Linked DNA regions of Saccharomyces cerevisiae S288C. Changing the gene in region 3 together with the main gene of any one other region gives a genetic interaction. Each region holds a gene or a part of one and is shown on either strand. Other genes may lie near its edges.

Region 1 (10,307 bases), on a different chromosome or scaffold from region 3:
TAAACCCACCTGAAGCGCCATCCGCATGGATTGGAATATCAGTATTGCTCCAATCAGGATGCTTGGCCTCAATTTGGGACAAGACATCTGCAACTTTCTCTACATTTTCCAAATGGCCAGTGTAGGTGGTTCCTAAAATTACAAAACAGCCAATAGTGTTCTCATCTACATAATCCCATAACGACTCTGGGTCAAGCATATGATGGCTTCTGTGGGATACCGGAACCAATCGGCATTCCACTTCAAAATATCTCGTAAACTTCTCTAATGCCACTTGGCACGCAGAAGACATTATAATGTTCGGCTTGGAAGCATCTTTACCAGCATTCTTCATTCTGTGTTCCCATCTTTTTTTCATGGCGAGTCCACCCAACATGATTGCCTCACTAGAACCTGTGGTGGCACAGCCTATTGGTTCTTCATCGGGATTAGCGTGCCATAATTGAGCTAGCATAGAAATACAACGCTGAGTTAGCTCAATTAATTGCGGATATTCATCATTGTCAGCAAGATTTTTGGTCAAATTTTCATCAATCAATTTCCTTGCCTGATCAGTGGTAAAAGTGTTCACGAAACTGGCAAGGTTCAAATGCGGATTACCATCAAGTGTTAATTCATTATGAATCAGTTGGTAAGACAAATCAGCAGGTAGTCCCTTTTTTGGAACTGAATACTTATTAGCCATGCCCTGAGACGAAGTATCTCTCATATTGTTCGATCCTTGATGACCACTTTGGACAGCGGATTTTTGAACGTCGTTAGAAAGCAATTGCAGACCTGCAAGGTCGTGGACAACTTTTCCAGCGATATTCTCGAAGTTCTTCTGCTTAGAACCGTGCCTGTGTAACATTATTCCTTGTTTTGTTCAGCCTGGATTGTTAAGAGCGACGTGTAATATCTTGAAACATTTTAGCATCGCCAAAAGGTGAGATTTCAGAGAGTGCGTTGCAGTTCAGTGGTCAATTATGCTCTCTTATATATGTATTTATGTTGCATCACTTTACTGATCCCCTTTTTCTGGTGTGCCGCACGATCTATCCCTTTTCCTTATAGAGTTCAACCTTGCTGTTAAGGGTGAAAAAAAAAAAATAGTAAAATAATGAATTTCTAATTCACTCTGATGAACTTAATAATCACAAGAATGCCTAAATTGACGTGTATTTATATGCTGCTCTTATGCAACTCTTGCTCTTAATTTGTCTAACTTGCCAGAAAGATTATTTATAAACGCAGTGAACAAGAATTTGAACAGCCCATATACTATGAACTTCTTTACTTTCACACGTTGTACATTTGCTATCGCAAATGAGATGATTTGATTATTTGAAAAATGTCAAGAACCAACTAGAATTTACCAGCATCAGCGCCTAGGAACCCGGGAAGGTACACTCTTCTAAACGAGACTGAGCATCACTGTTACTCGAGATACTTCCAAGAAAACAAAGTATAAACGGCAACCTGCGTGATAAAAACTATCTGAACACGTAGATGCGGCTACATATATAGAAAGTCAGCAGTTGATTCCGGAAGAATCCAGAGTACTATATGGTAGACTGGATTTATCTGTCCATATTTGCGGGCTTGATATTCGGATAGCATTGAGGCAGAGACAATATACAGTTTTTGGGTTAATTCTTGGCCTTGTGCTATAGCTAGCACGTCGTCGAATCCTAAGACCTTGTTTGAAAAGAATCGTCCAAAATGGGAGAACTGGCGCCAATGAATAAACCAGACGAAGGTATCACGAACATGTGCCAAAGCTTGTACCGGTACCAAATTATGCGAATGTCAGTCAGTAACAATGTCAGACCCTACTATCAACCCAGATGTAGCTCAAGTGGAACCTACTGTTCTCTCAAGCTTTTTAATAGAAACGCTCATAGAATATCATAGAGAGTTCAATAATAGCGGTATCATAGTTTATCTGATAACGTGCAAACTGTCCTGATCATGAAGCGGAGTTGAATGACAGGGTGATGGAATTGATGGCTAGTTGCTTTCGTATGCCTCGGTATAGGCATGCTAATGACACCCTAGGGTGGCTATTAGTATGTTGCAATGCCGAGAGGAGGTTGAATAACAATACCATTACATCAGCCGATAATATAGTGCATTGTATCAGCAAAATTAAGCAGTCAATTTATTTTTTTATCATTTAATGGCGATGGTTGGATAATTGTCTAAGAACAGTATTGAGTATTGCAATAAACCACTAAGGTTAGCCTCACGGCCAAACTATGTTGGTATCACTGTTACTAACAAGGTGGTTGTGTACGTGAAGGCAGATTGGCCTCAGAAGGCTCTTACCATTAAATAACAAGGCCATTATTCCACTCAATAGCTTGGCACTTGCACATTTGTGTGCCATTTACACTGAATGATTCATCTTTTTGATATCATGCAATATAATAATACAGGTGATAGAATGCGAAAAGCACGGGAAATAGGTGACTTTTGAGATAGTTGTTGAATACCATTTCCATAACAATACAATTTGGACAACATTATCTTATACCGAATATACCTTAAGTTTTACTCGAAAATATAGGAATCCATAAAAGGATCGATGATTCTTCATAATAATATTATGGTTTCTCGTTCCACTTTATATGTTGTCACTCATTATCCTATTGCATTATCAAGTCGTGCGTTCCACCCCCATTAAATTTGATGGCAGCTTTTAAATCTTTACCTTTATGCCATATTTCTACGTCGTATATGTAATAAGATGGATGCTAGACTATAGGGGGTAGGTGGTTCCTCTTCCGACATGTAGAGAATGTGGATTTTGATGTAATTGTTGGGATTCCATTGTGATTAAGGCTATAATATTAGGTATGTAGATATACTAGAAGTTCTCCTCGAGGATTTAGGAATCCATAAAAGGGAATCTGCAATTCTACACAATTCTATAAATATTATTATCATCGTTTTATATGTTAATATTCATTGATCCTATTACATTATCAATCCTTGCGTTTCAGCTTCCACTAATTTAGATGACTATTTCTCATCATTTGCGTCATCTTCTAACACCGTATATGATAATATACTAGTAACGTAAATACTAGTTAGTAGATGATAGTTGATTTTTATTCCAACACGACAATCATGAGTAATTACTTGATAGTGGATAGTAAGTTTTGATAGACACTTCCATTTTAAACTGATTTCACTTTTTACAGTGGCTAGAAATTACAATAAGAAATGGGCGTGTGGCGTAGTCGGTAGCGCGCTCCCTTAGCATGGGAGAGGTCTCCGGTTCGATTCCGGACTCGTCCAAATTTTTTGCTACTTTGCAATTAGTGTAACTTCATATTTAAAATTATAGTTAATCAAGAACAGAATATCGTCACAATGCTCTTTAAATGTTACGTACTTCTTACCTCCAGCTTGACTATATACTTGTCAATTCGAGTTAACCCAGATTATGCCCCAACATGGAAAACTGAAAAATATTGATGAAGCGAGGAAAAAAAACGTCATAGGAAAAATTCAAATGTTGCAACTTCAGATGGTTTTCTTCAATATATACAATACTGAAGAAGTCCTTCTTAATAGTTCAAATCTGCTAAGCCATCAAAAAAAGTTCAAGCAATAGTTGGTTCTTAATGTCGTTTGGTGGAATCAATACATTTCAACAGTATAACACAGATTTAGGGCTCGGCCATAATGGTGTTAGAATATCCTTAAACTACTTTGATGGTTTGCCGGATCCAAGTCTTTTAAACTCCTTGTACTCGAACGAGCTGAAACTCATTTTCAAATCTCTTCTGAAAAGAGATGAAACTACAAAAGAAAAAGCTTTAATGGATCTTTCCAATTTGATCAGCGACTTTAACCAGAATGAGTACTTTTTCAATGACATTTTTCTTCTTTGTTGGTCGCAGATATATGCTAAACTGATAATTAGTGATTACAAGGTCATCAGACTGCAATCACATCAAATTACTATAATGCTTGTCAAAAGCCTTCGGAAGAAAATATCGAAGTTTTTAAAGGATTTTATACCTTTGATACTTCTCGGTACATGCGAACTCGATTATAGTGTTTCCAAACCTTCTCTTAATGAATTAACAGAGTGTTTCAACAAAGACCCAGCAAAAATTAACGCCTTATGGGCTGTTTTTCAAGAACAACTATTGAATTTAGTAAAGGAGATTGTTGTAAACGAGAATGAAGATACCATTTCTGATGAACGTTACTCCAGTAAAGAAGAATCTGAGTTTAGATACCACAGAGTTATAGCAAGTGCCGTATTGCTGCTGATTAAGCTTTTTGTTCATAACAAAGACGTCTCAGAACGTAATTCTTCCAGTCTTAAGGTGATTCTTTCTGATGAGTCAATCTGGAAACTACTTAACTTAAAAAATGGGCAAAATACAAATGCCTACGAAACAGTTCTTCGATTGATTGATGTTCTTTATACAAGAGGTTACATGCCTTCCCACAAAAATATAATGAAGTTAGCGGTGAAAAAACTATTGAAATCGTTGACTCATATTACGTCAAAGAATATTCTAAAAGTATGCCCTGTTCTCCCATCAATACTGAACCTTTTAGCTACCTTGGATGACTATGAAGATGGGACAATATGGTCATACGATAAATCTTCTAAAGAAAAAGTACTCAAATTTTTATCGGTTTCCCGTACTTCACCATCGCCAGGATTTTTCAATGCTGTGTTTGCATTGTACAGCTCGACTAAAAGACACAGTTTTCTTGATTATTATCTTGAATGGCTTCCATTTTGGCAAAAATCGGTGCAAAGACTGAATGAAAAGGGCTTTTCTGCGAGAAACAGCGCTGAGGTTCTTAATGAGTTTTGGACAAATTTTTTGAAGTTCGCTGAGGATTCATCAGAAGAAAGAGTGAAAAAAATGGTGGAAAGTGAGATTTTTAACTCTCTGTCTTGCGGGAAATCTTTATCTGAGTACACAAAACTGAACCAGACTCTTAGTGGCGTCTTTCCACCCGATAAATGGGAGAGAGAGATTGAAGATTACTTCACTTCAGACGAAGACATAAGAAAAATAAAGGTGAGCTTTGAGAAGAATCTTTTTGCTTTATTGGTTACTTCTCCTAATAACGAATCCGCAATTAGTCGTTTATTCGATTTTTTTGTGCAATTAATCGAAACAGATCCCTCAAATGTTTTCAACAAATACGACGGTGTATATGATGCTCTCAATTACTTTTTAGATTCAGATATGATTTTCTTGAATGGGAAGATAGGGAAATTTATAAACGAAATTCCAACGTTGGTCCAAGAATCAACATATCAAAACTTTGCTGGTATCATGGCACAGTACTCAAACTCCAAATTTTTCAAAATGAATACTGACGCGATTACTTCGTTGGAAGACTTTTTTATCGTTGCGCTTTCTTTTAACTTACCAAAGACAATAATTTTAGCCACAATGAATGAGTTGGACAATGATATTTATCAACAATTAATGAAATCAGATTCCCTAGAATTAGAATTGTACATTGAAGACTTTATGAAAAATTATAAGTTTGACGACAGTGGGGAAATATTTAAAGGTAATAATAAATTTTTAAATCAAAGGACTATCACCACACTTTACCGAAGCGCAGTTGCCAATGGCCAAGTTGAACAATTTTGTGCTGTTTTGTCTAAATTAGATGAAACTTTTTTTTCAACGTTATTGCTGAATACCGATTTTCTTTCTTGTGCATTGTATGAAGTTTCAGAAGACACTAATGAGAAACTATTCAAGTTGTCATTACAGTTGGCTAAAGGGAATTCTGAAATCGCTAATAAGTTGGCCCAAGTGATTTTGCAACATGCTCAGGTTTATTTCAGCCCCGGGGCAAAAGAAAAATATGTCACACACGCCGTGGAGCTAATTAATGGCTGCAACGATACTTCTCAGATTTTTTTTCCCGCTAACGCAATCGAAGTTTTTGCCAGATATATGCCAGCAATTGATTATAGGTCATCCTTAGTGAGCAGCTTAAGTACTAACACGCATTTGCTCCTTACAGATGATAAGCCTATCAATTTAAAAAATATGCAAAAGCTCATCAGGTATGCTCTATTCTTAGATGCCCTACTTGATGCTCTTCCAGAGCGCGTTAATAACCATATTGTTGCATTTATAACTGTAGTTTCTGAGCTCGTCACTGATTATAATTGCCTTTCAGAGGAACCAAATGATCTTTACTATGATTTTGGGCATACCTTTTTCAAACATGGCAAAGTAAATTTGAACTTTTCTGATATTGTTGGAAACGTTATTCAGCCTGCTAATGGTGGTGATGCTATGCTTACTTTTGATATTGCTGAAAGTAATTCTGTCTACTTTTTTTATTATTCAAGAGTATTATATAAGGTTCTATTGAACAGCATTGATACTGTTTCATCCACCACATTAAATGGGCTATTAGCATCGGTTGAAAGTTTTGTCACGAAAACTGTGAGGGATCAAAAATCTACTGATAAAGATTATCTCCTATGTGCTATATTACTATTGATGTTTAACAGGTCCAACTCAAAAGATGAGATAACGAAATTAAGGACATTGCTGGCATCTCAATTGATTGGGATTAGAGAAGTAGAACTTGTCGATCAAGAATTCAAGTCGTTAGCTCTTTTAAATAATCTGCTGGATATCCCACAGGCAGATAAACAGTTTGTTCCTATAGCACCGCAGAGACTGAACATGATATTCCGTTCAATACTAAAATGGTTGGATAGTGATCTTGCCTACGAGCCTAGCTTTAGCACCGTTAGATTGTTACTACTAGATTTTTTCACCAAACTGATGAGGTTTGAAGGAGTCAGAGATATGGGCATAACAGCTTTTGAACTTTCGGAAAGGTTGCTGGCAGACTCTCTATCGATGTGTCAAATTGATGACACTTTATATTTGTTAGAACTTCGCTCTTCCTGTTTGAACTTATATGAAACATTGTCGCAAGGCGTTTCCAAAAATGGCGAGGAAATCTCAGAATATGGTGATGAAATTCAAGAAAATTTGATTGAACTGATGTTTCTCAACTTTAATCAAGAAAGAAATAACCAAGTATCCACACTCTTCTACCAGAAATTGTACAAGGTCATTTCCTCAATGGAACTCAAAAAGTTAGAATCTCAATACAAAAGAATATTCGAGGTTGTATTGAATGATAAGGATATCGGTAGTAATATTAATCAATCAAGATTATTAACTACTTTGTTGGGTTCTTTGGTGGTAAAAACACAGCAGGATATTATAATTGAGTATGAACTGAGGATTCAAAAACAAACTGGCTCAGACGTAGATGGTAGTGCATCTGATAATGATGTAAACTCAAAATTTAAACTACCTCAAAAATTATTACAAAAAGTTACTGATGAGGTGCCAAAAGAATACCTTGAATACGAGAATAAAAATTCATTTATTAAATATCTATGGTATTGGCACTTGATACTGATGTACTTCAAAGATACGTCTTATAATATGAGACAAATATTTATTGAACAATTAAAGGAAGCTGGTTTAATCAATAGAATGTTTGATTTCATAACAGATCAAATAGATTTAAGAGATACTGAGTTTTGGAAACAGGTCGACACCAAGGAAATTTCGGAATACAACATTGTCGGCAATAATTTCTCTCCTTATAAAGAAGACATATTTGAAGAATGTAAAAAACTTTTGGGCCATACACTTTATCAGTTGTTTAACAACGTCGGTTGTCTAACGAGTATTTGGTGGTTAAATATAAAAGATAGGACATTACAAAATGATATTGAAAAGTTTGTCTCAGAGTTCATCTCCCCAATTTTGATCAAAAATGAATTTGACGATATCAATTCTAAGATGGACCGCCTGACTTCTAATGATGATGCTTTGACTATTAAATTAAATAATATTACTAATGAAGTGAAGGCAAGCTATTTGATTGACGACCAAAAGTTGGAGATTTCCTTCAAACTACCAAAAAACTACCCTTTAACAAATATCCAAGTTAATGGCGTCTCTAGAGTTGGTATAAGTGAACAAAAATGGAAACAATGGATAATGTCTACACAACATGTAATTACAGGCATGAATGGATCCGTTTTGGATTCGTTGGAGTTGTTTACTAAAAATGTGCACTTACAATTTTCTGGTTTCGAGGAATGTGCCATATGTTACTCTATACTACATGCCGTGGATAGGAAACTACCTTCGAAGACATGTCCGACTTGTAAAAATAAGTTCCACGGAGCATGTCTTTACAAGTGGTTTCGATCATCGGGTAACAATACATGTCCATTATGCCGTAGTGAAATTCCATTTAGAAGGTAGACTATCGCATATAAATTTCATATAAATGTACTACATTTTTTAAACAAAGTTCCTTTTATTATTGTGCTCTCTTACAAATTATACAATCCAGCCCTATACCTTGCCAATCCAGCCCATCACCCGGATATTCTGGAAATTTTTTCTCTTCAGGATTTTTTCAGGATAAAAATCGAACTTGAAAGAAGAATGGTTTTTAGTTCAGGCCTTGTTTTCAGTTTTTAGCTACTAAAAGAGGGATAACCATTGATGAAATTCTATTGAATGTCCCCAATTTTCGGAAAAGGACTGCACCGAAATATTTCAATCAAAATCATTTATCGTTTTGTTTAGCTATTTTTTTCTCAAATTATCACTCTTTTCTTCCTTTTTCATTCTCTCAATTGTTCTTTTTATTTGAGGAAATTTGATTGTATTGCATATACAACTATGCGATGCACTTTGTTCATTTTAACTTTGGATATATGTGCCTTGCTATGAACGCGTTCATTTTTAAGTGACCGGACCCTAAAATATTCAGGTAGCATGACGGAAGCTATGAATTAATCCTGGTGGAGGGGTGTGTTCAGTTTGAGGGAGGATGATAAAATGGAACGGAGATTGCAAGGAGACGTAGAAAATAAAGTAGGAGCAAATGGATTTTCTGCTTGGCGGTATAGCACGTTTGAGTTTTTCAGTCGTGTCTATGTTCAGGTTTATGATATGCTGTGGTTGATTCTGTTGATTCACACGTTTCGCTTCCATATAGTGTGTTAACGGAAACTCCATGTTAAGGTTTATTATAAGAAAATTTTTTGAATTTGTTCTTTTTATATTGGTTTACTCTCCTCGTGATTTCTTTTCTTTTTTTATCGTCATCCTCTCTGAATGTATTTATTACGCATGGCTTTTATTCATTGCTTTCTAACTGTGATGGGAGTTTTTTTCTTGTTGCATAAATGAACGTGGGCGAGGTTTTTATTTTCAAACTTGGTGTACTATAGTGCAATGCGTTGTTAATTGTAATACGATGTTTCTTCGATAAAAGGAGCGGAGGGAGAAGGTGAAATTACGAAGGAAAGAAAGAGATGAGAAATCAAGAATGAAGCAAGACATTGATTGATATGGTTGTTTTCGGTGCATGTTTGATTACTAAAAGTTGGGGCATTCGATGGTTTACAGAAGTCATAAATTCAAATATCCCGTTTAATCGCTCATCTATTAAAATCAATAGTAGAATGTAGTTTCATACCCGGGAGAAATTCATAGTTTAGATCACGCTTAATAATGTCAATCTTGTCTTGCTGAAATGAAACTTAAACATGTTTATGTGTAATGTTATTTATTAATTATTAACTGTATCTGTAGGAGAAGAAACTATGTATTGTGCAAGTAGTTCAGGTGTTTGCAAATTGATGCTCTTAGAAAATGAAACGTAGTGTTTATGAAGGGCAGGGGGGAAAGTAAAAAACTATGTCTTCCTTTAAGTGTTTTCTTTATAAACTCTTTCCACATCTGGCTTGACAGCCGCTAGAATATCTCTTCTCTTTAATTTTTGGGCGGATGTAACAAGGCCATTTTCTGGAGTCCATTCTTCTTCAAAGAAAACAATGCCACATAATAATTCAATACCATTCAAGCCTTGAGATTTGGCAGTTGACAGCATATCTTTGCAAACGGCATCCTGTAGCTTCTTTTCATGGATATAGCTTTCGACATCTTCACCTGGTACCATTATACCTAATTCGATAGCCAGCTTAGACAAGTGTCCTAAGTTAGGGACCACAATACCGACAGGCTTAACTTTGTTTTCATCAGCGTAGACACAGATGTTTTGGACGTAAGGATTTGATCTGTAAATGGATTCTAATTTTTCCAATGCAATGTACTCACCATTTAAGGTCTTAACCAAATTTTTCTTTCTATCAATGATCTTAACTTGTCCCTTGGGGGTCCATTCAGCGATATCACCGGTACGGAACCAGCCATCATCGGTAAAGGCCGCAGCAGTTTCTTCAGGATTCTTATAGT
Region 2 (9,369 bases), on a different chromosome or scaffold from region 3:
TATGTCATTTCAGGAAACTTCCTCAATTCTTGGCGTACTATATTGAGTTGCCAATGTATGAGAGTGGTCGATTTCAATCGGCAACATTCTATCTCGCAATTACGCAATAAAAATTGACATGGTATGTTATTTTCATCCTTCGGATTTTTCAAACCATTCTGTTATAAGAGATATGTACCATCAATCGCCGACAGCGATACCCTCTTTAACCTCTAGTAAGAAGGACCCGGCACTTATTGTAATACGTTTAGGGGAAGTAGGTAAATCTGGACCGGTAATACGGCATAACGATCCATTTCGGACATCGGGGACATTTCTTTTTTTTCCTTTATTATTTTTTTTTTCTAATGTCCTTACGAATTTCAGGCTCTAACCTTATTTCTTATTAGGACGTGTACTCATTGCCATCGCAACAATAAAAATAAAACATTAATAAAAAATTAATTAGAGCCTGTAACATAGAGATCAACGCTACTGTAGCGTTAGAAGGACAGTGAGAGAGTGGCATGACAATTAAAGTTTCTTCCGATTACTTCATGTCATCTGCATTACAAAGGAAGGAAAGATGTTTCGAATTATTTCCCCTTTAAGGTATTTTTGATGTGAAATTTGACCCCATACTGTGAAAATCAACTGCTAAGAACTCTGTGATCTTCTAAGATAAAAAGGCGGGCCCCTTTTTTCTTCTATATCTATTTATTATCTAAATATGCTTACATAAGCAAAATATACCGGGGTAGTTAGTGCACGCGGGGAACTACCTCTTTCTTACCGGATCTTGCCGCATCCTTTTTTCTGTTCATTCTCAGAAAAAAGAGGCTTTTTTTCGTGAATACAGTCCGAAGAGCACTAGAATTTCGGACCGAAATTAGTAATATCTTCTGTACGAAAAAGGAAGACCCCTTTTCGTACAGAAGCCTTGGTCAATCAGAACAGGCAACGTTGTTTTTTCTACTCCGGAATTTTCTGAGCGAAGACAATCGGCCCTGAAGAGAGGATCAATCGTGGAAATCTACATCGTCCTCAAGAATTTCTAACGAGACTTCATGTCAAAATTTAACTTTTTTAGCTTTTTTTTAAGGTTGGCCCGCCAAAATCGTAAGTCTCGGTGCTCTGTTTAGGAAATAAAGAAGAGAAACGTCACCTAAAAAGTTTAAATTGAAGATGTCGTTCTATCTCGCGAATCTTAAATGAAAGACAGAGTGGGTTGATGACACTAGCGGACTTGTCATTAAATAACCCATGATATCTAGGCACATTAAGGTTAGCGTGGGGGGACGCGAATAATATAAGCATTACTCCAGTAAACTCACATAGAAAGAAGGAAATATTCTTTGTTCAAAGAGCAAAGGTGCCTGTAAAGATCCTCTTATTCATCAAAGCCTGGTCGAAGATTATTAGTTGTGCCAAGGCAATATCAGGTTTATTAATCTTTTAGGAAAAATGTAAGGTTGTTACGTCTCTTTCCGTCTCGCGGAAAAACATTTTTACTCAAGCCGTCCGTGGGATGATTTTTGGTGGTTATCATTTTCCAAGACTCCAGACAAAAGAACGTGCAGGCGCTTGGCAAAAAGAAAAAAAAAAAAAGCGAGAGGGAAAAGTGGCGCGGTGCCAATACTACCGGTACTTGTTCTTGAATAAGCTATCAGATGGTCAAAATAGGGCTAGAAGAAAAATGGTAAAATAAAGTAAAAAAAGGTAAAAGATAATTTTTGAAGAACTAAAAAATATGTAAATGAATATGTATTCTACGGGTAGTTTTCTGCCTTACAAAATTATGGCAGCGAAAACAGAATGGTGGAAGAAAGTAAAGAGGGTATCGAAATAATATCTTAATTTAAGAATGAAAACATCGTAATGAAGAAACGAACATGTTGGAATTGTATCATTAGAATACAACTGGAAGAGCGAGTAGCAACCACATAAAGTTTCCAAGAACCTTGATATTAGCAGCACCTTGGTAAGTACTCGAGATAGAAGGAACAGAGTATGTAGCGACTGCAGAACCAGAAGCAGATTGTAGTGGACCAGTTAGAGATGGAGATGTGACAACGGGAGCCACGCTAGAAGCAGAAGCTGTTGTAGCTAGTTGGGATGTAGTCTTGATTGAAATAGGGTTGGTTGCTGTGGCCACAGTTTCGTAATTCTTGGCACCATTTGAACCTGGAATCAAAGTGGTTATGTAAGTGGTTGGGATGGACTTGGTTGTGTAACCAGTTGTTGTTTCGCCAGCGGAGTTAGTACCAACAGATGACTCAGTGGTAATAACTGTGGTTGGAATAGCCGTCGTGACAGGGGTGGTAGCCGAAGGTGCAGTGTTTTCGCCTGCGCTTGCAGAACTTACGATAGTCTTAGCAGAGCATACAGATGTAGTTTCACCGGCAGCGTTTGTAGCAGCAGAACATTCAGTAGTGGTTATTGTAGTTGGTACGGCATTAGTGGCAGGAGTTACTGGTGCACTTGGAGCCAAAGTGGTTACATAGGTGGTTGGTACAGACTTTGTTGTGTAACCAGTTGTCGTCTTACCAGCGGAGTTAGTACCCGTAGAGGATTCAGTGGTAACAACGGTGGTTGTGACAGCTGTTGTAACAAGGGTGGTAGCTTCAGTAGTGTATTCGCCAGTACCAGTTGAACAAGGAACAGTGGTTGTGACAGTCTTTGGAGAGCATCCAGAGGTAGTTTCACCGGCAGAGTTTGTACCTGTAGAGCAAACCGTAGTAGTAATAGTGGTTGGGGTGAAATTGGTAACCGTAGTGACTGATGGAGTTGGAGCAATTGTGGTTAGGTAAGTGGTTGGAATGTTTTTGGTGACAAATGTAGTTGTAATTTCACCACCTGGTTTTGTACTAGTAGAATACTCAGTAGTAACGACGGTGGTTGAGACAACTGTAGTTACAGGTGTGGTAGGTGAAGTGGTTGTTGATTCCGAGGCGGTTTCGCTTGGACTGGTTGAACATGGAACAGTAGTTGTAATGGTCTTTGGAGAGCATCCAGAGGTAGTTTCACCGGCAGAGTTTGTTCCTGTAGAGCAAACTGTAGTAGTAATAGTGGTTGTTGATGATGTAGTGACAGAAGTCGTAGTTGTAGTTGGAACAGTAGTTGTAACGGTCTTTGGAGAGCATCCAGAGGTAGTTTCACCGGCAGAGTTTGTTCCTGTAGAGCAAACCGTAGTGGTAATAGTGGTTGTTGATGGTGTAGTGACAGAAGTCGTAGTTTTAGTTGGAACAATGGTAGTTTCGGTTGTAGAAGAAACAGAGGTTTCTGTTTGACTGCCAGGGTATTTGGATGATGATGGAGTGACAGTAGTGCCAGTAGAAAAGCTTTCAGTAGTAGAGCTGAATGGAATTGAAGATGGAGCGGAGGAAGTGATGTTGCTAGAGGAAGATGGGGTTGGTACTGGTGCTACAGAGCTTTCAGTGGTGGAGCTGGATACTGGAGCAGAAGAGCTTTCAGTAGTAGAGCTTGATGGGGTTGGTACTGGAACAGAAGAGCTTTCAGTGCTAGAGCTGAATGGGGTTGAAGATGGAGCGGAGGAAGTGATGTTGCTAGAGGAAGATGGGGTTGGTACTGGTGCTACAGAGCTTTCAGTAGTAGAGCTTGATGGGGTTGGTACTGGAGCAGAAGAGCTTTCGGTAGTAGAGCTGGATGGAGTTGGCACTGGAGCAGAAGAGCTTTCAGTAGTAGAGCTGGATGGAGTTGGTACTGGAGCAGAAGAGCTTTCAGTGGTAGAGCTGGTTACTGGAGCAGAAGAGCTTTCAGTAGTAGAGCTGGATGGAGTTGGTACTGGAGCAGAAGAGCTTTCAGTAGTAGAGCTGGATGGAGTTGGTACTGGAGCAGAAGAGCTTTCAGTAGTAGAGCTGGATGGAGTTGGTACTGGAGCAGAAGAGCTTTCAGTGGTAGAGCTGGTTACTGGAGCAGAAGAGCTTTCAGTGGTAGAGCTGGTTACTGGAGCAGAAGAGCTTTCAGTAGTAGAGCTGGATGGAGTTGGTACTGGAGCAGAAGAGCTTTCAGTAGTAGAGCTGGATGGGGTTGGTACTGGAGCAGAAGAGCTTTCAGTAGTAGAGCTGGATGGAGTTGGTACTGGAGCAGAAGAGCTTTCAGTGGTAGAGCTGGTTACTGGAGCAGAAGAGCTTTCAGTAGTAGAGCTTGATGGGGTTGGAGCTGGAGCAGAAGAGCTTTCAGTAGTAGAGCTTGATGGAGTTGGTACTGGAGCAGAAGAGCTTTCAGTAGTAGAGCTTGATGGAGTTGGCACTGGAGCAGAAGAGCTTTCAGTGGTGGAGCTGGTTACTGGAGTAGAAGAGCTTTCAGTAGTAGAGCTGGATGGAGTTGGTACTGGAGCAGAAGAGCTTTCAGTGGTAGAGCTGGTTACTGGAGCAGAAGAGCTTTCAGTGGTGGAGCTTGATGGGGTTGGAGCTGGAGCAGAAGAGCTTTCAGTAGTAGAGCTGGATGGAGTTGGTACTGGAGCAGAAGAGCTTTCAGTGGTAGAGCTGGTTACTGGAGCAGAAGAGCTTTCAGTAGTAGAGCTGGATGGAGTTGGTACTGGAGCAGAAGAGCTTTCAGTGGTAGAGCTGGTTACTGGAGCAGAAGAGCTTTCAGTAGTAGAGCTGGATGGAGTTGGTACTGGAGCAGAAGAGCTTTCAGTGGTAGAGCTGGTTACTGGAGCAGAAGAGCTTTCAGTGGTAGAGCTGGTTACTGGAGCAGAAGAGCTTTCAGTGGTAGAGCTGGTTACTGGAGCAGAAGAGCTTTCAGTGGTAGAGCTGGTTACTGGAGCAGAAGAGCTTTCAGTAGTAGAGCTGGATGGAGTTGGTACTGGAGCAGAAGAGCTTTCAGTGGTAGAGCTGGTTACTGGAGCAGAAGAGCTTTCAGTGGTAGAGCTGGTTACTGGAGCAGAAGAGCTTTCAGTAGTAGAGCTTGATGGGGTTGGTACTGGAGCAGAAGAGCTTTCAGTGGTAGAGCTGGTTACTGGAGCAGAAGAGCTTTCAGTAGTAGAGCTGGATGGAGTTGGTACTGGAGCAGAAGAACTTTCAGTAGTAGAGCTTGATGGGGTTGGTACTGGAGTAGTAGTCTTCTTAGTGCATGTCTTAGATGTGGTAGTTTTCTTCTTTGTACATGGAGTGGTGTCGTGATGAGGAGGTGTAGGCTTTTCCTTTGTGCATGAGGTAGTGGTTGGGGGTGTAGGCTTTTCCTTAGTGCATGAGGTAGTGGTTGGTGTAGCAGGAGCGGTGGTTGATGATGATGTAGATGACTCGGAAGTGCTAGATGTAGTGGTAGATGACTCGGAAGTGCTAGATGTAGTGGTAGATGACTCGGAAGTGCTAGATGTAGTGGTAGATGACTCGGAAGTGCTAGATGTAGTGGTAGATGACTTCGTACCGCCACAATTATTGTCACAATCTATGTTCCAATAGAAGCCTGGGAAATCCGTTTGAGAGTGGCCTTGATTGTCATAGTTGTTACAACCAGTAGACAAATCAAAAGATGTAGTTCCCCATTGCCAGGAGCTTGCATATTGAGCGGCACTACCTTGCAAATACTCGAATTGAATTTGGAAGTTAGGCATCCACACCTGACAGCTGTTGACATCTTGTGTGGCATAAACTTCAAAAGTGGCTGTGAAATCAGTTGGGTTGTCAATCAAATAGGTATTTTCGTTGTAACCGTATAGTTGGACGGTACCTTTTGGACCAGTGACACCAATGATTTTCAAAGACCATAGATACTTCAGGTCAATATTTTCTTTACCTTTGACATGAATAGTGATTTGGTATGTGTTGTCTTGAACCCAAGAAACGGAAGTCACATCCAAAGTATACTGCATGATATTTTGCTGGTCCATGTGCCAATTGAAGTCTAAGTTGGGACAGCCATTAACGATAGAATTACAGCTAGTTCCTTCGGAGGATCCTCTTGGAACTAGTGCAGTTGGAAAACCCAAAGCCGAGTTAAATAGAAGCGAAAGGACCAAATAAGCGAGTAGAAATGGTCTTTGCATAGTGTGCGTATATGGATTTTTGAGGCCTACAAAAGTATATTTTAATTAGAACCACAACATGACGAGGGATAATAACTGATGAATAGGGTGCTTTTTATACGTTTATTTTAGGAAGCAAGAGATCCTTTTTATCAATTGGGAACCCTTCAACAATTTGTACTGGTAAGTCTATGAGTTATCCGTTCTTGAACTAGAAGAGAGCGCAGTAACGTAAATGCTTGAACATATTTGTTAAGGTAAATAAAACTGCCCTAATTTTTTATTTAATTCGAACACGGACATTCCTCAGATAAGACAAGTCTAACAGTTAATTCAAAGTAGAAAGAGCTTAATTTCTCCGTAAAAGAACGAAGTATATTGCGATGATGCCTTGAATCCCAATTGGTAACTCTATGACATTTTTGTAAAGGTTACCTCATCAGAAGAGAACGGACCTAAAAAGATGACCCACATTTCTCTAGAAACAATCGTACCCTAATAGTTGCTTTAAATTGCTCAGCGGTCAAGAAAACGTATCATAATGTTATTCTATTCTTGAGCAGGCACTTTTAGGGTTGGGCAATGTCCTCAAAGTAAATATTAGTAAACAAACGAATACCTCCAAATCCATTGAATTGAAAATCCATTCCAAGCTCTGCGCTTCCAATTGTTAATCACACCACCGATAGGCAATAGAAGTTCTGTCCGTGAAGATACCGCAGAATGAGTTGTGCCCGTATTGTTGCACCTAATTACGGAATCCCAAGGTATGCGATGTCCCAGTACGACCGTTAAAAAGACAACATGAATGACTGATCTGTTTAAGAGTATAGGCAGAAATAAAAAAGTTTGTGCAATGCCTGACAAAAAAAAGCTAATTTTTCTTTTAAGAAAGAATGTCATTCTTTTACCGCAAAGTTAATTTCTGCCTACAATCACCTTCTAAACGCTCGGACTGATTGCCTTGAGCAATCAGCAGTTCTTTGAAGCCACTGTCGCAACAAAGAAAAAGAAAAGGGAAGTCCATTCTTAGCCCCAAAGAAAAGGATGACAAAAAAAAGAAAAAAAGTTAACTCGTACCAGTAAAGCCTAATTTTGCAGTGATCGCTAGCCCCAGAGAAGGACTAAAGACAAAAAGGACCCACTCGATAGGAAAATAACGGCCGAAACTCTTTGGGCGACATTTTCTTGTTAAGAAAACAGAAGAAAAAAACCTTAATTTGAACTTTCCAGGCACACCCAAAAAGGATTATGCTTATGTAATGCCACATTCCGAGAAACTGAAAGGCAAAAAAGAAAAAGCCTTTTTTTTCCTGCCGCGAAAGTTTAATTTGCCTACCGGCGTTCCTATTGGAGTCAGGAAAAGATCACTAGGAATTACAGCTGTGAGAACATACTCTGGGGCTGGCGTAGGCACACAATCCGGTATTCCTAAAGTTTTGTGGTACAAAACTCCATACCTAAAACATAAAACAAATCTCACCCGTGGATCCTTTTATTCATAATACCCCGTCCTGCACGCCGTGGAACTGAGTCTAAGTTGACAAGGCTACGAATGAATTTTGGGAAATGCATACGAAGAGGACTGAAAAAGTAGCAGGTTTCATGTGGTGGAAATACCGATTAGCGCATTCACATTCGTGTTAGGGTCCGTTTTCCCGCACAGCTTTCGAAATATGAAACAATGTCCGTCTGCGTCAGCAGCTCAGATAAGGAAAAAAGAGATGGTAAAAAACATTCGAGAAAAACAAGTACTGCAGGTGCATGTCCTCAATGCATGCAAGTGACCGTTTTGGGGTGGTGAGAACCATCACTAATTAAACTTTTCCTATTTTTTGTCTTTACAATATTCATTAGTCTTCATTCGCATTGGGTGTTCTACAGAAATGCTGGGCAAATCTGGAGATGGGTTGATACGCTAGCGTTCCTACTTGTAAGGGAGCAAAGATGTTAGATTTTTCTGTTTTGGAATTTTAGCTTTCTGTCCACCTTAGGTGTATGGCTCGGCTCTCGATGAGAATAGGAAAGTATTCCGCACTAACCGATGGGGGGTTGTTCTTACCGTAAAACCACACTTGAAAGCTATACGTAGTTGGAACCCCAAAACGACGGTATGAAATGAGGGATACATTAGGGGACAAAAAGGACTAGTAATTTCTTTGAAATTTGTAATAATAATTCGAAAAGTTGAGCATCCTTAATCTGACATGGCACACAGATGAAAAGGTGTTGAAAGCACTGTAAAAGAGGTTAAGAAATATCCTCTTTTCAACGAGCTTCATTTTGAGTATAATATGTTTATATTTGTCGCTGGCCCTGAGATGCTCAACTGTAAGTAAAACATCGGATGTGTGGATAAAAAGAACATGGAAAACGAGTGCAGCAACGACTATATTTAAAATAGTATCATTCATAATTCGATAGATGGACTTTTCAGCTACTTGTAAACGGCGAAATTGTGTCTAAGTTGTGAATGAGCTTTTCATTTTCATTTGCGTACCGAAGTGGTAAAACTGACGACCTAAAGTACGATATACGGAATAAAGCAAGTTCTAATACTCTCTGCAGTTTGACCAGTGCTACTTGGCGCTGTTCATTCCAATTAGCCGTAAATTTGTGAAATAGATCCCAAGATAATCTCCGTTTTATTTGCTTCCAAAGAGGTTATCTTTTTAATAGTTGGCATTTTCTAGCTTCTTGGTTGCTATAAGGCATAGTTGAAGTGCAGTGAGAGGAAGAGGGGAACTCACGGAAAGAGACTCCTTATACTTTTGTCAACCGGTGTGTTCCAAAATTCGCTAGTTAAACGTTTTATTAGCAGCGGTCCCATTGAGCCAAAACCCCGCTGAGCGTTGCGACACAATCTGATCATACCACATAATCATTGCAGCGCCTACTTTTTAACTTCTAGCAGCCAAATTGTTATTCAGATTTAGTTGGCGGTACGACTCCTTACAGCAGTAAATTATTCGAATTAGTAACAAACGAGTGATTGGTATGTGGAGATAGGAAACGAAGACTGAGCAGAAGCACCCACGCTAAGTAATTGTATTCTTGAATTGGGAGCCTGAAGAATTATGATCAAGCTCAGCATCTTTCCGTAGCGTCTTCGAGAATTTGTCCTGTGAGCGGAAGGTTGAAAGTTATAAATGATGTCTTATTTTTTTGCATGATCTCCCCAGACCCAGATGTCATCTGTAAAGAATTTAGTAGGACAATTGAAGACGCTGTCTTCCAATTGATTCAGCGAAACCTTTTCTTAAGATCATTCATATTCTTGTCAAAACACAGATCAGCGTCATATTATTCTTGTCTCGACATTAGGCCGTAATTTCGTCGAAGAAAAATGATCTATGTCATTGTAAATATCTACAATTCCAGCTATTTACGATAATCAC
Region 3 (6,678 bases):
TGCGCTCTGTATCAACTGTTACACGCGCAGTATTGGGAATATTTTGGTTAGATAACGTAATAATTTGATTCTTTCCTATATACACCAAATTTGTTAGAGCATCATCAGATTTACCTTTTGAGCTATCTCGTGCGATTGATAAGCCTTCCTTGTAGTGTTGTTCGGCAGATGCGTTCATAAAAGGTAGCTGGTTCAATGGCGGAAAGGTAGATGCACACTTTAAATATAACTTGTTTTTTTTTTTGAATGTAGTATCCAGTAAGTTTGGAGGCGTTACAAAATATTGTAATAGTGTGGCAAGTAATAAACAATCAGAGATAGTCTCCTTTGATCTTGATTTTTTTTCATGCTTTTTATCTTTTGACTGGTCTAGAACTATGATTTCTTGAACATTGAACAATACAGCTGTCCGAGCTATTTGATATGCAGTAAATGTAACTTGCTCCAAATTATTACAATTGTCGATAACAGTTGTCGGTATGCATATGGAATATTTGACCACATTAGATTCTATATCCATGATTTTTTTTAGCTTCAATAGGCCTGTCTTTGCCTTTTTGGCAGCCCCCTCTTCGTGCTTAAGGCTCTCGGATTTATGTTTTACTGCCATCTTCCCCTATTATGCTACACTTCCCTTGGTAGATGTGTTTCACCTCATTGGTATCAATTACCTCCTCTACTTAATATCCCAATTTCAACATGGTGTTTTCAAGCGATGAGGTGGAAAAAATTTCAAATAATATGTTTGGGTGTGCCCATTATTGCGGTTTACAATAGTTGCTAAAGAGCTATTTATTAGGAATTTTTAAACTTTAGAGATTGCTTAAAGCGACTTTAAAGCGTTTCTTTGGAAAGATAGGAGAGCGGATGCTATCTCAAGAGCATCTCTTCAATGATTTAAGCAGTGACAGTGTAAAACAATTACGGACCAACGAAAATGGTCAAATCAAAACTAATTACAATAAATAAGTTCTATCATAATACAAGGGAATTCTGTGCGATATAACCACATTGATTGAAGGTAGAATATACAAGCCAACGTGAGACCAATCAAATTTCGTTAAGTGCGCCTATACAAAAAGAAATCTTTTATGTAGATATGACAGTAAGAAAAGTATATATGTGAGCTAGCAGGGTATTGAAAGCGATCACAAGAAGGCAAAACGAAATAGATTGTTAGAAGATGAGTGAACAGAAGGGACATAAAGAAAAGATTTCCTTTACAATCTAGTAAATCTTCTTCTTTTCATCAACGGATAATTCACCAGCGCCAGTATTAGTAACTAATAGAAGCCCACCAATGATGCTTAAGTTCTGGTAAAACTCATACTTCAAGAAATCTCTCTTAGTATTGTTATAAAACCAGTAGTTGTTTAGCGTGATATTGTAAAAAGTTAGTATCAAACCCAACATAATGGATGCGAATTTTGTCTTGTAACCAATGGCGAAACATATTGTGCCGATAATGGTCAAAACAACAGTAAACCATGATTTACTGAAAGTGAAAGCGATAAACATTAAAACAATTAAAATTCTACCAGCAAACAACAGGTAACCCTTCGCTTTGTCGTTTTTGCTGTTTAATTCAGGAAGCATACCGAATGTTGTCTTGTTTTGAACAATTGAATCGCTGAATGCAATTAACAACCCACCAATAACACTAAAGTTTCTTAGGACAAATGATGAACCCGTAAACAACCCATAAACTAATGCTTGAGAAATAACGCAAGCACATAACACACCGGTGGCATAATTGGTTTGCTTTCTTAAAACTAACAAACTGGCGCCAATCAACATGGAAACGGTAACAACCACTAGAAACACAACGACAAAGAAGTATGGGTAATGCTTCCACTTATTCAGATAAAAAATTTGATCTGACCATTGTGATAAGATCCTAAACGAATCTTCATAAAAGGTGGCCACAATGAAAAATCTTGACAAACTTGGAATGTAAGGCTTCAATTTATAAACAACTGCATTGTCAGTGAGCCCCTCAATTCTGGAGGCAAACTTTTCAAAAGAATGCTTCCATTGCTTTAAGATGCCAGAAGTGGATTGGTTCTGGTTTGATCTGAATTGTGCACCGCCAGAGTATGGTCCTTGCGATGATGACATTGGCATACCGCCAAAATTTCCAATAGGTCCTCTGTAAGACATTGATCTATCCTTTCAGTTTTGTTTTCACTTTTTTTGAGTCGTACTAATTGCAGCTATTGTAAGTAAATAAGGACACCTTTGATCTTTCGTTAAAGGTGTCCTTTATTTTTCGCCTTTCTCATTATTCCCTCTTCTCTCATCTTCTAGAAATACCTAAAAAGGGAACCGTTACCCGAACCTATTCATTATAGAAATAAAAGAGAACGTTCTCTATAATATTCGTATACATTCGTATATATTCTATTCCATTTCTTACGGTATTCACACGAAGTAGGACAACAAGCTGGATGGTAGTTTGCCAGAATCGACAATAGTCTTTGCAGATTCCTTCAAAACTTCCTTGGCACCAGCAGCATTGGCCTTGATCTTATCGGCGGTGGACACTAACTCTTCGTCATTCAAACTGTCAACGATCAAACCAACTTGTTCGTCAATCGTGGTGGCCTTGTCAGCATCACCAAAGTAGTCAGCTTCCTTAGCAGAGTTACGGATGGCTCTCTTGTTCTTTTTCTTGGCGGCCTTAGCAGCTTCCTTAGCCTTCTTTTTGTCAGCTTTTGCGGAGGCGTTAGCCTTGGCTTCAGATTCAGCTTTAGCCTTCGCTTCAGCTTCGGCCTTGGCCTTAGCTTCAGCTTCAGCTCTGGCACCGGCTTCTCTTTCCCATTTTCTTCTTTCCTTTTCCTTCTTCTCTTCTTCTTTGAACATTTTGATACGGGGATCTTCACTGACAGCTCTTTCAACAAGTTTGACCAATCTAGCGTTATCAGCAGTCTTCTTCTTGTCTCTTGCGGCCTTGTTCTTTCTTTCAATGTAACGCTTGTGGTCTCTGTTAGAAGAGTCATCTGGGACATCTTCGTCCAAGAACTCAAAGGTTCTCCAGGAGTCAAATCTGTGCCAGAAAGCATAGAATTGTTCAACTTCCTTCTTGGAAGAATCTTTGTTACCTAGAGAAGGAATAGGAGTCTTCTTAGAAAAACGAGCTTCAGCTTCGAAAACGGGGCCCCAAGCTTCATAAAAGTCATAATCGGTACCCTTCTTTGGAGGAGGAACATCGGCAACAAAATCACATGAGTCGTACTGAGCTCTCTTGTTGGAATCAGTCAAAGTTTCAAAGGCCTTTTGAATAATCTTGAAAAAGCCATCTTGGTCCAAACTACCACCAGCAGCAGATTGCTTGTCTGGATGGTACTTGACAACTTGTTTTCTGTGAGCCTTGATGATTTGACTTTCAGTAGCTCTGAAACGCAACTTAGACAAACCCATAGCAGCATACAAATCGGCAGTTTTCCAGTCTCTAGCATCATGAGTCAGTAAATCTTCATCGGCCAATTCAGTGTCGAATAACAACTCATCTGGGTCGACATTGGATTCATCAACGGTTTTGACGTTCTTTTCAGCTTCAATTCTTTCAAATTCAGACCAGGTGTGGTTTCTCAAAGTTCTTTGAGCATGTTGCAAAAAGAACTTACCAACCGGTTCGACCGGACGACGGACGAATGGGGTTTTGGTAGCGGAACTGTTGACTTCAACAGTGATGTCTGAGGTTAGGGTAGGTAAAGAAAACATCGTTACTCTTGTTGGTATATGTGAGACAAAACGAAGATTTTATAAAAGCATCGGTAGGAAAACCTTATGAAATTTTCTCTACCAGCTCTTGAAATAAAAATTTCGAACTCTTTGCAAAATTTCATCGAGAAAAAAAAAAGATTCGTATTTGCGGGTAATATTTTTTGGACATTTGTATTAGGAGCGTTATGTTCATTAATGTCATCCAAAAGATAGTTATAAATCTATGATTGTATGGTTTCTTTGACATATTTATAGTTAATATATATATATATATGTGTTTAATTTTATAAAAATTCCATCGTTTATATTCGATTATTTTTATATGTCAACCTTTTTTTTAAGAAATGTTCATATTTAGTCAAGTTCTTAATGAAATGAACGGTTGAAAGTACAAGGCAACTATCATTTCAAGATATAAAAAAATTGCCCAAAAAAAAAAGGCCATTTGATGAAATGTCTCATCGCGCTACGATTTCTGCTGTAATCAGAACTAAATGCGTGATCGGAAGTAATATTAGATATTGGATGCATAAAAGATAAAACGCCAGCTAACGATGGCAGAATAAATAGGTAAATATATATATATATAGGTTTTCTTAATAAATAAGGGAGAAATGTACAGTTAGAATCGTAGAATTATCCACATATCCCTATCTTCAAGATCTGTCGTACTTAAATGCCTCCATAGGTTGCAATCCCCATTTAGCCAACATTGCCTTGTCTTCGTCCCAACCGTTACACATTGTCGTCAGCATTTTCTTACCGGTGAAGATACTGTTACAACCTGCCATGAAACAGACAAATTGCTCTGTTTCTTTCATTGTATAACGACCAGCGGCAAGTCTTATAATGGCCTTTGGCATAACTATTCTCGCTGTGGCAATGGTTCTCAAAATTTCGTCGAATTGCAACTTTTTACTCTTTGGATCGGCAAGTTCCTCAGCCATTGGAGTCCCTTTGATAGCAACTAGTCTATTAATTGGTAGGGACTCAGGATGAGGAGACATATTGGATAATGTGTAGATGAATCCTATATGGTCGTCTTCGCTTTCACCGAGACCCAAAATACCACCGGTACAGGCTTTTATTCCAGATTCTTGGACATTCTTGATGGTCTGTAACCTGTCGTCGTAGGTTCTCGTGGTGATGACCTTACTATAGTGTTCTCTGGAAGTGTCGATGTTATGGTTGTATGCAGTCAAACCTGCATCTTTCAATTGCTTTGCTTGATCTTGATCAACCATACCTAAAGTAACACACGTTTCTAGCCCCATATCATTCACTTTGGTCACCATTTCCTGAATTCTTTTCATGGCTGATTTACGACCTTTCATGTCTCTCCATGCAGCACCTAGGCAGAATCTAGTAGATCCGTTTCTTTTGGCCTCTTCTGCCTCTTTAATCACTTCATCCACTTTAACCATTTTCTCAGCCTTTAGACCGGTATCGTTTCTCGAAGACTGCGCACAATACTTACAGTCCTCAGAACAACCACCAGATTTGATGTTCATCAATGTGCACAATTGCACTTTGGTTGGATCGTGCCACTTTCTGTGCTGCAATTGTGCTGCATGAGTAAGTTCGAGCAGTGGGGTATGATAAATTTCTTTTAATTGCGATTTTGTCCACGAATGACTTGGTTCATCTAAAGACAATGCATATTGTAGAGCACCCAGAGTACTAGCTTCTGAGGATGCAGTTGTCGATTTAACTGCGGCATTGGTTGCGTATTTAGTTAAAGCCGGTCTAGCGGTAGATAAATGACGGTAGATAGTAGACATCATACTGCACTAAATTGAAAATAATCGGCTAAGTTAGCTCTTCTGAGGACACCACTACCAGAAGAGTAAGATCTGAAAAATTTTCAGCAAGTATGGGAGCAAAAAAAGCTTTGCCCTTTTATATAAGATCTGCCTAAGAGAAGAAATAAAAGATACCAAGAGAATCTAGCAGAGTGGCAAACGAACTACATAGCCTGTAAATACAGATTAGGCAGCAGCGTAGCGGATTTTCCTCAGGCATCGTCTCTCACGTGAAATCTGTGGGGGCACCAGCGTGACAGGGACGGTTCTAATGCTTTGCACTTTTCAACAACTTTTTTCCATAACCAAATGCCGGCAAAATGGCTTCGAAGAAGACGCGAGACTTCATCCGCGAGTCATCTCGACATGACTATCTTTTGCTAGCCAACACGCCCCTCCGCAACTTCCCACGATAAAATTGTAAAGAACAGTACTGATGGACAGAGATTTGCGCAGTGGCATTTTTTGAAAATAAAATGAAAAATTATATATATATATTCCATACATAGTATATAATATGAACTCGTTTGACTTGGAAAATTTTAGATGCAACAGGCAATATCGTTGGGCTTTTTTATTTGATCATTAGCTTATTTGAATATGAAGGTAATGACCAAGGGCTACTAATGTCTTTCTATTAAGCCGTTTTACAATTGTATATTTTGTAATTTGCATCGCAGTCATAACTTCTTGCAAGAAATAGTAGTTTCACACAATGAGGTAGTTTCGTTGGAGATGCAGTAATAATGCAGAATACGGATCTCACGGACCCCAAGAGAAAGCTACGCAATCTTACGGCTTGTAGGTTCTCAGTTCCCAATCGATGCAAAATGGGTAAGTATTTTCAAGACTGAAATAAGGTCGCTTAGAAACGGTTATCCATTTACTATTATCTGGAAGCTGCTTTCCACAGCTACCTACTTTGGAGTAATGGTTTCCGGGAAGACTTCATCCTAGAGCCTCTTGCTGTTGTTATTCGAAGTTCAGATTCGTAAATGGTAGTACGTTCTGCTTTCGCAATGAATAACTAGGTCACATAAGCCCTAAATGCGTCAGTAGAAGATCAGATGCATTGACCACATCATATCCTTCTAAAGTAATTAATTGAGATTTAATATTTTTCGTACTGATGAGAAAGCTAAACTAGTGC
Region 4 (2,757 bases), on a different chromosome or scaffold from region 3:
TCATGTCAGAGAAGTTTCTGTGGTAGACTTAAATAAAAAGAGCTTGACCATGAGAAGCTGTAATTTAACGATGTGCAATCTATTAAAAGTCTACGAAACTGTAACATATAGCCCGCATCCCGATGACTCGGCTAATAAAACACTTTTCCAGCAGGAAGCCCAAATTACAGCATATGGATCCATTAGAAAGCTGTGTAATAAGATGGAAGATTGGTCAGTTCAAAGGTTTTGCGAGAACGCTAAAAAGGGTAAAATGGGATTCGATGCTGTTTTGCAAGTATTTAGTGAAAATTGGGAAAAACATGTTGATGACTTGAGCAATCAACTTGTCAGTAAAGTCAATGAAACCATGGAGGATGTTAAAATATCTGCAGGTACGCTTCTTAAAGGAACTGAAAGGAGCGGCAGAACCATCTTACAGCAAAATATTGACTTGTTTAGAGACGCATACAACCACGAAAATTAGAGATACAAATTCCTTGATCCCGCATGGCACTGCATACTACTTATATTCCTCTACTGTCTATCTATTCATTTGTTCTTTTGTTGTAAATAGAAAAGTAAATAATGACAATATTAAAAGCCTTTTTCAAAATTTAACGATCAATTAAAATATATAAGTTTTAAAAATACTTTACTTAAGCGTTAACCTTGTAGACGGAATGACACTTACCACAGTACAATCTGTCCTTGTGGTTAGCCAAGAAAACACCAGCACCACAAGTTGGGTTGCTACATTCTCTTCTCAATTTGGTAACCTTACCTTCAGCATCGACCTTGTAGTAGGACAAGACAGCCAACTTGACCTTCTTGTGCTTGTGCTTGATCTTCTTTGGGGTGGTGTAGACCTTCTTCTTTCTCTTCTTACCACCACCTCTCAATCTCAAGACCAAGTGTAGAGTAGATTCCTTTTGGATGTTGTAGTCGGACAAAGTTCTACCATCTTCCAATTGCTTACCAGCAAAGATCAATCTTTGTTGGTCAGGTGGAATACCTTCCTTGTCTTGGATCTTGGACTTGACATTGTCAATAGTGTCAGAAGATTCAACTTCCAGGGTAATAGTCTTACCGGTTAAAGTCTTGACGAAAATTTGCATCTTGGCTTGTCGGCAAAATTAAAAATTAACTGCTTCTTTCTTACCAAGTAATCTTGTGACTTCTTTGTATTGGAATAAAAGATAGAAGTAAGGAAGTTTCTGATATAACGAACATCTCAAAATATTTAAACCATTTAATAAGTCTAAAAGTATCTAGTTTTTCATTTTGATGAGTTCCCACCGCTTGAAAAAGTGCGCCCGGGCCAAAAAAAAAAGTTTGTACTAAAATAAATGATAAATGATAAACCCAATTCCTTACAGGATGCACGGAGGTAAACAGGAAAGATATCTCAAGAACTTCTCGTTCATTAACCCCAGGTAGATCGCACTAAAGACTTCACCACTATTGATAAAGGTTTTGTAGAATATTTATTATCGATACCTTGCGGTTGCAAATTAATATACCCATCAAATAATTAACCCCAACCAAGTTTAATTTCTCTCCTTTCAACAAATGGGGAGGCTCAAATGTTTTTACTTACTTGAAACACTCTTTTGATTTGCTACAAAATAATCAAGCAGCGATATTTAATATGAAATTCTACCTTTAAAATTACTCCTATGACTCCACATGCATGGGGGAGGGGTAAGATGCGCAGTCAAATCAGAGAGAAATGTTATGTAGCAAAGATAATGAGTGCGTCTGAATAAAACTAGAAGTTTCTTATATACACGACACCAGAGACGGTTTCCATGTATCTTCAAACATCCATATACGGCTAGTAACTCTTTTTTAAGGTATTTTTGTTTATCTGGGCTACTTATGTACGTATATGTAATTAATTATTTTGAGATTCCGAAAAACTAGAATGTCGACAGAAAACAAAATAAAGAACCGTTCATGCATTAAAGGGATATAGAAAATTGAGCAAATTTGCTTTGTCATCAAGTGGTGTTACAACATGAACTCATTATATGAACTCGATCCGAAATGGAAGAAACTATTGAAAACGGACAATTTCCTGGGCGGATTAACAGTCAATGAATTCGTTCAGGAATTGAGCAAAGACCATCGTAATGACGTGTTGATTGATGCAAACACGAAAAATCTTCCAACCAATGAAAAGGATCAGGATGCAATCAGAGAGGCTATTTGGAAACAATTAGATCCAAAACCTTACATTAGAACTTTTGAATCTACCTTAAAGGAACTAAAAAACTTAAATGAGGAAACACTAAATAAAAGACAGTATTTTTCCGAGCAAGTGGCTACTCAGGAAGTTATTCATTCGGAGAATGTGATAAAATTATCCAAGGATTTGCATACTACTTTACTTACATTCGACAAGCTAGATGATCGCTTGACAAATGTTACTCAAGTTGTTTCGCCATTGGGAGATAAATTAGAAACCGCAATCAAGAAAAAGCAAAACTATATTCAAAGTGTGGAATTGATTCGCAGGTACAATGACTTTTATTCCATGGGAAAATCAGATATTGTTGAACAATTAAGGCTGTCTAAAAACTGGAAATTAAACTTAAAGTCCGTGAAATTAATGAAGAATCTATTGATATTATCATCCAAACTAGAGACAAGTTCAATACCAAAAACAATAAACACAAAGCTGGTTATTGAAAAGTACTCTGAAATGATGGAAAATGAGCTGTTAGAGAATTTTAATTCTGCATATAGAGAGAATAATTTTACTAAATTAAATGA

Evidence for each region.
Region 1: of ZUO1 (region 3) and RKR1, changing one enhances a phenotype caused by changing the other (phenotypic enhancement), as found in Saccharomyces cerevisiae (2 studies listed by BioGRID).
Region 2: of ZUO1 (region 3) and FLO11, changing one suppresses a phenotype caused by changing the other (phenotypic suppression), as found in Saccharomyces cerevisiae (one study listed by BioGRID).
Region 4: of ZUO1 (region 3) and RPS31, changing one suppresses a phenotype caused by changing the other (phenotypic suppression), as found in Saccharomyces cerevisiae (one study listed by BioGRID).

The regions. Positions count from the first base shown.
Region 1 is NC_001145.3:761,344-771,650, reverse strand, and holds RKR1 (ubiquitin-protein ligase RKR1), read left to right. Parts: upstream 1-3,611; coding exon 3,612-8,300; downstream 8,301-10,307. Other genes in the region: glutamate decarboxylase GAD1, read right to left, coding at 1-850; YMR247W-A (uncharacterized protein), read right to left, coding at 2,225-2,368; long-chain fatty acid-CoA ligase FAA4, read right to left, coding at 9,760-10,307. UniProt on the Saccharomyces cerevisiae protein: E3 ubiquitin-protein ligase component of the ribosome quality control complex (RQC), a ribosome-associated complex that mediates ubiquitination and extraction of incompletely synthesized nascent chains for proteasomal degradation.
Region 2 is NC_001141.2:387,684-397,052, forward strand, and holds FLO11 (Flo11p), read right to left. Parts: upstream 5,993-9,369; coding exon 1,889-5,992; downstream 1-1,888. Other genes in the region: YIR020C (uncharacterized protein), read right to left, coding at 6,572-6,874. UniProt on the Saccharomyces cerevisiae protein: Homophilic binding protein that enables kin discrimination in heterogeneous yeast populations by mediating homotypic cell-cell interactions during flocculation, a reversible and asexual process in which cells adhere to form aggregates (flocs).
Region 3 is NC_001139.9:1,059,431-1,066,108, forward strand, and holds ZUO1 (zuotin), read right to left. Parts: upstream 3,724-6,678; coding exon 2,422-3,723; downstream 1-2,421. Other genes in the region: UPA1 (putative methyltransferase), read right to left, coding at 1-610; protein ERV29, read right to left, coding at 1,228-2,160; BIO2 (biotin synthase), read right to left, coding at 4,383-5,510. UniProt on the Saccharomyces cerevisiae protein: Component of the ribosome-associated complex (RAC), a heterodimeric chaperone complex involved in regulation of accurate translation termination and in folding or maintaining nascent polypeptides in a folding-competent state.
Region 4 is NC_001144.5:497,287-500,043, reverse strand, and holds RPS31 (ubiquitin-40S ribosomal protein eS31 RPS31 fusion protein), read right to left. Parts: upstream 1,098-2,757; coding exon 639-1,097; downstream 1-638. Other genes in the region: UPS2 (Ups2p), read left to right, coding at 1-466; exocyst subunit SEC10, read left to right, coding at 2,000-2,757.